Linked DNA regions of Macaca fascicularis. The protein of the gene in region 1 purifies or fractionates together with the protein of each later gene. This does not show direct contact. Links are inferred from orthologs where the notes say so. Each region holds a gene or a part of one and is shown on either strand. Other genes may lie near its edges.

Region 1 (4,341 bases):
ATTATATATATATGTGTGTGTGTGTATATATATGTGTGTGTATATATATGTGTGTGTATATATATATATTTAAAGGCTATGTGGGGTGGGTCATGCCTGTAATCCCAGTACTTTTGAAGGCTGAGGAGAGAGGATCGCTTGAGGCCAGGAGTTGGAGACTCTAGTGAGCTATGATCGTGCCACTGCACTCCAGCCTGGGCGACAGAGACTGTATCTCTTAAAATAAAAATAAAAATAAAAAAAATATGAGTAGATGAATGATAACCTTTAGAAAGGATCCAGGAGGCTGGGTGTGGTGGCTCACTGGTTCACGCCTGTAATCCCAGCACTTTGGGAGGCAGATCACTTGAGGTCAGGAGTTTGTGAACGGCCTGGCCAACATGGTGAAATTCTGTTTCTACTAAAAATACAAACATTAGCCTGGGCAACAGAGTGAGACGCCCCCTTGAGGCAGGGGTGGGGGGGTGGGGGAGGGGGAGGGAAGAAGGGATGGAGGAAAGGGGAGCACATGGGGCTTCTACTGTTTGGTTTTGCGATCTGAATTCAGGTTGTAAGGGTGTGTTCACTTTGTGTAATTTCGTCGAGCTGTAATGATTTGTGCTCTTCTCTTTAACTTCAATAAAAGGTTTATTTAACAAAAACTGTAGCTGGTGTGAAGGGTAGCAGTGTATCCCTGGGGCCTGGAATACAGGCTTTGGGGTCAGACAGACCTGGGTCCCAATCTGTGCTTTGTCCTTTCGGCACGTTGTGACTACAGCTGGTGGCTTCGTGGCTCTGGGCTTGTTTCCTTCTCTATAAATGAGGAAACATAATACCTGCTACGATGATGCCTGTAAAGCTTAAGCACAGGACCTGGCATAGGTTTGTAAGGCGGAAACCTGGGATACAGAATTAAGGCCTATGGATCTCCTGTGCAACCCAATTTCTGGGCACTGGCTGCCTCATTTTCCCCAGCCCAGACGCGTGGGTTCTACTTGACTGGTTGCTCACTGCGGGCTCGGGGCTCCTCACTCCTGGGGGTAAAGCCCGGTACGAAAGGTCACCTTCAGGGGCAGCTCAGACCTTCCTACGCCCGCGCGGGGCACAATCTTGGGATCAGCCCCACAAGGAGACCCTACCCGCCCATACGATCCCTTCTGTGGAGCCCAGCTCAAGGCCCCTCCAGCCCAGACACTAAATGAAAGCTAAGAGCAGTTGGCCGCCAGACTGTCCGTGCCAGAGCTCTGCGAACTTACTCCGTTGAAAGAGCAACGGCCTTGCGCCACCTCCTGGGGTAAACCCCCAGCCCTTCACTGCAGGGCAAGATGGCGCTGTCGCGTGATGCTGCGCACGCGCACAGCTCCGGTCCCGCCCCCAAGCCTGCGGGTACGGACAGCGCACGAGCTTATGTTGAGGGCGGAGCCCAGATGAGCCCTTCATCCTATCCTGCCCTTCCAGCCACTCTTAGCGGTAACTTAAACTACGCTTCCCAGAAGCCTCCTCAGCCAGGGACTTCCGTTGTCGTCAGCGGAAGCGGTGACAGATCATCCCAGGCCACACAGAGGCCGGCTTGGTCACTATGGAGGAGATAGGCATCTTGGTGGAGAAGGCTCAGGTACAGTGGGGACTTGAGCTTTTTAGTCCGTGCTGGGCTCGCGGGGAGAGGGTGAAGCCAGACCTGAGTGGGGAGATGAATGGCTTCCGGGACCCCGGCCCGGGTTGGGGTGATTTCTGAGGCCTCGGTGGAGAGTTTTGTGCCGTTCGAAGGCTTGTCTGGGTGGCCGAGTGATGGTGGGAGGTAAGGCTCAGAAAGCGGGTCTAGGGGAGTGAGTGACGTTAGTGGGTCTTTGGGACGGATTGATTTCGAACCCTGGCCGGTAGTGCTTAGTTAAGTCGGTGGCCCGGCGTTGGGATTGGGTCAGGCGGTGAGTGATGTATGGGATCCAGCTGTGCGGCCGAGTGATCCCCGGGACTAGGCTGCGGGGCTGACTGATGTTCAGGGCTTTGCTGATGGGGGTAATGGGGCGGGTAGTTAAGTATTATCTGTGGCTTGGCTGAGTGATGTTTAGGTCTAAGGTGAGTTAGGAGACTGTGACATAAGGGATCTTTGAGGGGAAACTGGGGAATGTTGGGACTCTTTGAAGGCGCAGTCACTTTAACAGCTTATCTAGGAGAGCCATGTGACATTAGGAACCTCTTGAGGGGGATCGGGTGGCATTTGGGTCTGATATGGAGTTGATGTAACATTTAGATCCTAGGTGGGGGTTGTGTGACACTGGGGACATGTTATGAGTGATATATGATAACATAAGAACTGTTTGGGGGCAAGTTGACATAAGGAGCTTGTTTAGGAGGCCAAAAACAGGATCTATTTAGAGGGTCTTATGATATCAGGGGTCTGTTAGGGGGTAAGTGACTTCAGGGTGACGTGGGGAGGGGAACAAACGTTAGTGAAGTTGAGATGCTTTCATGAGAGGACCGTCTTCCAACGTAAGTTGTCCCTTTTGGTCTAGGATGAGATCCCAGCGCTGTCCGTGTCCCGGCCCCAGACCGGCCTGTCCTTCCTGGGCCCTGAGCCTGAGGACCTGGAGGACCTGTACAGCCGCTACAAGGTACATTCAACCCCCAACCCAGACCTTGCACAGGACCTGGCATCTTATACTCTCCCCATTTTCCACCACTCTCTGGATCAGCAAGGGCTGGAGCCATCCCCTTCTGTCCCCTCTCTGCTCACAGAAGCTGCAGCAAGAGCTGGAGTTCCTGGAAGTGCAGGAGGAATACATCAAAGATGAGCAAAAGAACCTGAAAAAGGAATTCCTCCATGCCCAGGAGGAGGTGAAGCGAATCCAAAGCATCCCGCTGGTCATCGGACAATTTCTGGAGGCTGTGGATCAGAATACAGCTATTGTTGGCTCTACCACAGGTGTGTGGGTAGCTAAGGACATCTAATTCATTCATTTGTCCACTTCACTATTTCCTACCATGTGCTAGGAAGCAGCAAACAAGGCAGGGCAGTGCAGTGCAGTGTTCTTCAGAGTATTTTGATCGAAAGGTAGAAATACATATACATACATATATATATATATATATATATATATTTTTTTTTTTTTTTTTTGGAGACAGAGTTTTGCTCTTGTCGTCCAGGCTGAGAGTGCAGTGGCACGATCTCGGCTCACTGCAACCTCTGCCTCCCAGGTTCACGTGATTCTCCTGTCTCAGCCTCCCAAGTAGCTGGGATTACAGGCATGGACCACCACGCCTGGCTACTTTTTGTATTATTATTAGAGACAGGGTTTTACCACGTTGGCCAGTCTGGTCTCGAACTCCTGACCTCAGGTGATCTACCCACCTCGCCCTTCGAAAGTGCTGGGATTACAGGTGTGAGCCCAACTGTGCCCGGCCAGAAATATATTTTACATTGTGAATATGTCTTTGTCTCTTACTTTTTAGATAGATGTATAAAACATAAGTCTCACCATGAAATATTTAGCCTTACTATGTGTGGTATTTGCTGATGTTTTCTATCCTATTCTAGTCTGTTTTGCTTTAAACACAGTTCTGGTCATGAACTTCCAAACTGATTTCACAACTACTACTGGTTTGGGGCCTGCAGTTTGCAACGATGAGTAGGAGTGTTAAGAGATTGGGCTCTGAGGCCAGGCATGGTGCCTCACACGTATAATCCCAATACTTTGATCAGGTGGGCAGATCACTTGAGGCCAGAAGTTTAAGAACAGCCTGGGCAACATGGAGAAACCCTGTCTCTACTGAAAATATAAAATTTAGCCAGGTGTGGTGGTGCACGCCTGCAATCCCAGCTACTTGGGTGGTTGAGGCATGGGACTCTGTTGAACCCAGGAGGTGGAGGTTGCAGTGGGCCAAGATCGCGACACCATATTCCAGCCTGGGCGACAGAGCAACACTCTGTCTTAAAAAAAAAAAAAAAAAAAAAAAAGACTGGGCTCTGATAGGGACTCAGAGTCCCTATCAGAGTATATTGTAGCTGCTGCTGTTTATATAGGTCTAGGCCTTGCCCTCTTGATAGTCATTGTTACTGGCACTTACCTGTTTTTTCCCGTTTCTGGGCTCTGCTCCTCTGGACCAAGCCATGTTCTTGTAAAGGTTGTGGAGAAAGGTGTGCGATTGTGCCTGGAATTGGACTGGGGGGCTATGAGAAAGTGAGGGGAGAGTGGTATCCAGGATGAGGTCTCTATGTTGCGAGTTGGGATAGTGCAGCTTTCCATGAGATGGCACCATGGGTAGAGGAGCAGGTTTGTGGGAACACAGGGAGGGCAGTCCAGAGCATCATGGGAGGTGTCCAGGAGGCTGCTGGTCAGCCAGGTCTGACAGTCAGGAGAGAGA
Region 2 (4,064 bases), on another chromosome or scaffold:
GACTTTTCACTGTACACTTTAAAAAGACACATTTAAAAAATCTCACCATGTTCGTATTTGTTAAAACATTTTAAAAATATACTGAAGAAATGACACATAAGGATCACAAAATAGGTTGTGGTAAAAATTTAAAAACCTGGCTGGTGATTCTTTTCTCCCCACTTCTTTTATCAAAATAGAATTGCCCTGTAGAATTACATTTCATATTTGACACCCTACCCTGCCCTGAAATAGGGCTGGGATTCTATTCCTGTCTTTTAAAACCTTCGGTTTAAATGGGTCCGATTATTGAATGGATCCTGATTACAATAATCGTACCCATTGAAACCAGAGAAATTTCTAGGCCTCCCTGTTGAAACCAAGTAGGACCTTTCCATACCCGGCCCTCAGAATGTACACGAAGGTGAAAGAACAGTCTAGAAGGATGTCGTTCCCTCAGCCTTGGGTTCCAGCTAAAAAAAAAAAACTGTGTGGGGTTTCCCCCTCACTTTTCCAAATTTAACCTGGACACCAGCTCCTCTGCAGTGTCTCCCCTCGAAAGTTCTCGAGCGTTCCCCAGCTTTAGGGCCGCGCCCGGCCTGAGATCTGCTGAGTCATTGTCCTTGTCCCGCGGCCCGCAGCGGGGGAGGGGCGCGGCACCGGGGAGCCCCCGCGACCGGGCTGGGAAGCTCAGGAAGACTGAGGGGGGCTGAGCAAAGAAAGCCCCGTCATTATCTCAAATGTGACCCAAAAATAAAGACCCGTCCGTCTCGCGGGGTGGGCCAGGGCGGGTCGCGAGGGAGGGGAGGGAGACCCCGACTCTGCGGGAGGCGCTCCGTCCGCGCCCCACGTCCGCCGAACGCGGGGTTCGCGACCCGAGGGGACCGCGGGGGCTGAGGGGAGGGGCCGCGGCTGAGGAACGCGGGCTGCCCACCCGCTCCTGGCGCCGCAGAGTCCGCACCGGGTTTTGGCGCCTCCCGCGGACGCCCCCTCCTCTCGGCGAGCGCCTCCACGTCATGGCCGCAGGGCGCAGCGAGCGCCCTGATTCTTCCGCTTGGGCGCTCAGGACGGCGGCCCGCTGCCCACCAGACTCAGTCCCAGAACCCCAGTCTCAGCAGGAGGACATTTTGGGACGGGACTTGGGTGACTGTAGGGCACTGGTTTTCTTTCCAGAGACCGGAACGGGCGAGCAAAAGTAGTCCCTTCTCGGCGATTCTGCGGAGGAATTTCCTTGGGGCGGTGAACGCCGATGACTATATAAGGACGCGCCGGGTGTGGCGCAGCTAGTTCCGTCGCAGCCGGGAGTGGGATCGCAGTTCTTGTTTGTGTGTCGGTGTCATCGCCACTTGGTGAGCAGAGGGCTGCTGGGCCGGCCATGGCTTTCGTGGCCGCTGGGCCGCTCGGTGGGATGGAGGGGGGCCGACGCCGCGGGATGAGAGGCCGCCGAGGGCTGTAGTCTGGGTCCGCGAGCAAGGTGCCCCGAGCAGCGGGTGGGAGGGGAGCGCAGCAAAATGGCGGCTGTTCCCGGCTCTTGAATGGAAGACGGTTGTGAGGCGGGCTGTGAGGTTGTTGAAACAAGGTGGGGGGCATGGTTTGCGGCAAGAACCCAAGGCCTTGAGGTTTTCGCTAATGCGGGAACGCTCTTATTCTGGTGAGGTGGGCTGGGGCACCATTTGGGGACCTTGATGTGAAGTCTGTCACTGACCGGAGAACTCGCTTTGTCGTCTGTTGCGGGGGCGGCAGTTAATGGCGGTGCCACTTGGCAGTGCACCCGTAGCTTGAGGAGCGCGCGCCCTCGCAGTGTCGTGACGTCATCCGTTCTGTTGGCTCATAATGTGGGGTGGGGCCACCTGCCGGTAGGTGTGCAGTAGGCTTTTCTTCGTCGCAGGACGCAGGGTTGGGGCCTAGGGTAGGCCCTCCTGAGTCGACAGGGGCCTGACCTCTGGTGAGGGGAGGGATAAGTGAGGCGTCAGTTTCTTTGGTCAGTTCTATGTTCCTATTTTCTTAAGTAGCTGAAGTCTGAGTTTTAAACTATGCGTTCGGGGTTGGCGAGTGTATTTTGTGAAGTTTCTTAGGTATCTTTTAAATTGTAATCATTTGGGTGAATATAACATATAGTTTAAGTATTAGGAAGATTAGTACATTGTCTGCTAAATGCTGGTGGTTTTTGGCTCTTTTGTTAGACAATGCAGATCTTCGTGAAGACCCTGACTGGCAAGACCATCACCCTTGAGGTTGAGCCCAGTGACACCATTGAGAATGTCAAGGCAAAGATCCAAGATAAGGAAGGCATTCCTCCCGACCAGCAGAGGCTGATCTTTGCCGGAAAGCAGCTGGAAGATGGGCGCACCCTGTCTGACTACAACATCCAGAAAGAGTCCACCCTGCACCTCGTGCTCCGCCTCAGAGGTGGGATGCAGATCTTCGTGAAGACCCTGACTGGCAAGACCATCACCCTCGAGGTCGAGCCCAGTGACACCATCGAGAACGTCAAAGCAAAGATCCAAGACAAGGAAGGCATCCCTCCTGACCAGCAGAGGTTGATCTTTGCCGGGAAACAGCTGGAAGATGGACGCACCCTGTCTGACTACAACATCCAGAAAGAGTCTACCCTGCACCTGGTGCTCCGCCTCAGAGGTGGGATGCAGATCTTCGTGAAGACCCTCACTGGCAAGACCATCACCCTCGAGGTGGAGCCCAGTGACACCATCGAGAATGTCAAGGCAAAGATCCAGGACAAGGAAGGCATCCCTCCTGACCAGCAGAGGTTGATCTTTGCTGGGAAACAGCTGGAAGATGGGCGCACCCTGTCTGACTACAACATCCAGAAAGAGTCCACCCTGCACCTGGTGCTCCGTCTCAGAGGTGGGATGCAGATCTTCGTGAAGACCCTGACTGGCAAGACCATCACCCTTGAGGTGGAGCCCAGTGACACTATTGAAAATGTCAAGGCAAAGATCCAGGACAAGGAGGGCATCCCTCCTGACCAGCAGAGGTTGATCTTTGCTGGAAAGCAGCTGGAAGATGGGCGCACCCTGTCTGACTACAACATCCAGAAAGAGTCCACCCTGCACCTCGTGCTCCGTCTCAGAGGTGGGATGCAGATATTCGTGAAGACCCTGACTGGCAAGACCATCACCCTCGAGGTGGAGCCCAGCGACACCATTGAGAATGTCAAGGCAAAGATCCAGGATAAGGAAGGCATCCCTCCTGACCAGCAGAGGTTGATCTTTGCTGGGAAACAGCTGGAAGATGGGCGCACCCTGTCTGACTACAACATCCAGAAAGAGTCCACCCTGCACCTGGTGCTCCGCCTCAGAGGTGGGATGCAGATCTTCGTGAAGACCCTCACTGGCAAGACCATCACCCTTGAGGTGGAGCCCAGCGACACCATTGAGAATGTCAAGGCAAAGATCCAGGACAAGGAAGGCATCCCTCCTGACCAGCAGAGGTTGATCTTTGCTGGGAAACAGCTGGAAGATGGGCGCACCCTGTCTGACTACAACATCCAGAAAGAGTCCACCCTGCACCTGGTGCTCCGCCTCAGAGGTGGGATGCAGATCTTCGTGAAGACCCTCACTGGCAAGACCATCACCCTTGAGGTGGAGCCCAGCGACACCATTGAGAATGTCAAGGCAAAGATCCAGGACAAGGAAGGCATCCCTCCTGACCAGCAGAGGTTGATCTTTGCTGGGAAACAGCTGGAAGATGGACGCACCCTGTCTGACTACAACATCCAGAAAGAGTCCACTCTGCACTTGGTCCTGCGCTTGAGGGGGGGTGTCTAAGTTTCCCCTTTTAAGGTTTCAACAAATTTCATTGCACTTTTCTTTCAATAAAGTTGTTGCATTCCCAACTGGTGTGGTTTTTTAAAAGTTAAGGTTATTTTGCATTAGACTGGGTGAAGGGGATCAAGGTTTTCAGTTTACAAATGTTGCTGTGGTAACAGTGAAATGTCAGTGAAGGGGTTGACCTTAATATAGTACGAACTGTAGAAGGTGGGTGCAAATAAAAGCCGGCTTCAAGACCAGATTGGCCAATGTGGTGAAACCCTATGTCTACTGCAAATACAAAAAGGCAGGTGT

Evidence for each region. The genes of interacting proteins can lie anywhere in the genome.
Region 2: the proteins of PSMC4 (region 1) and UBC purify together in Homo sapiens (affinity purification with mass spectrometry; 3 studies listed by BioGRID, with this or other methods). This does not show direct contact. The link is inferred for Macaca fascicularis from reciprocal best matches to the Homo sapiens genes PSMC4 and UBC.

Annotation. Positions count from the first base shown.
Region 1 is NC_088393.1:47,110,119-47,114,459, forward strand, and holds the start of PSMC4 (26S proteasome regulatory subunit 6B), read left to right. Parts: upstream 1-1,520; 5' UTR 1,521-1,558; coding exon 1,559-1,594; intron 1,595-2,492; coding exon 2,493-2,591; intron 2,592-2,715; coding exon 2,716-2,902; intron 2,903-4,341.
Region 2 is NC_088385.1:132,077,541-132,081,604, reverse strand, and holds UBC (polyubiquitin-C), read left to right. Parts: upstream 1-1,264; 5' UTR 1,265-1,328; intron 1,329-2,162; 5' UTR 2,163-2,165; coding exon 2,166-3,767; 3' UTR 3,768-3,835; downstream 3,836-4,064.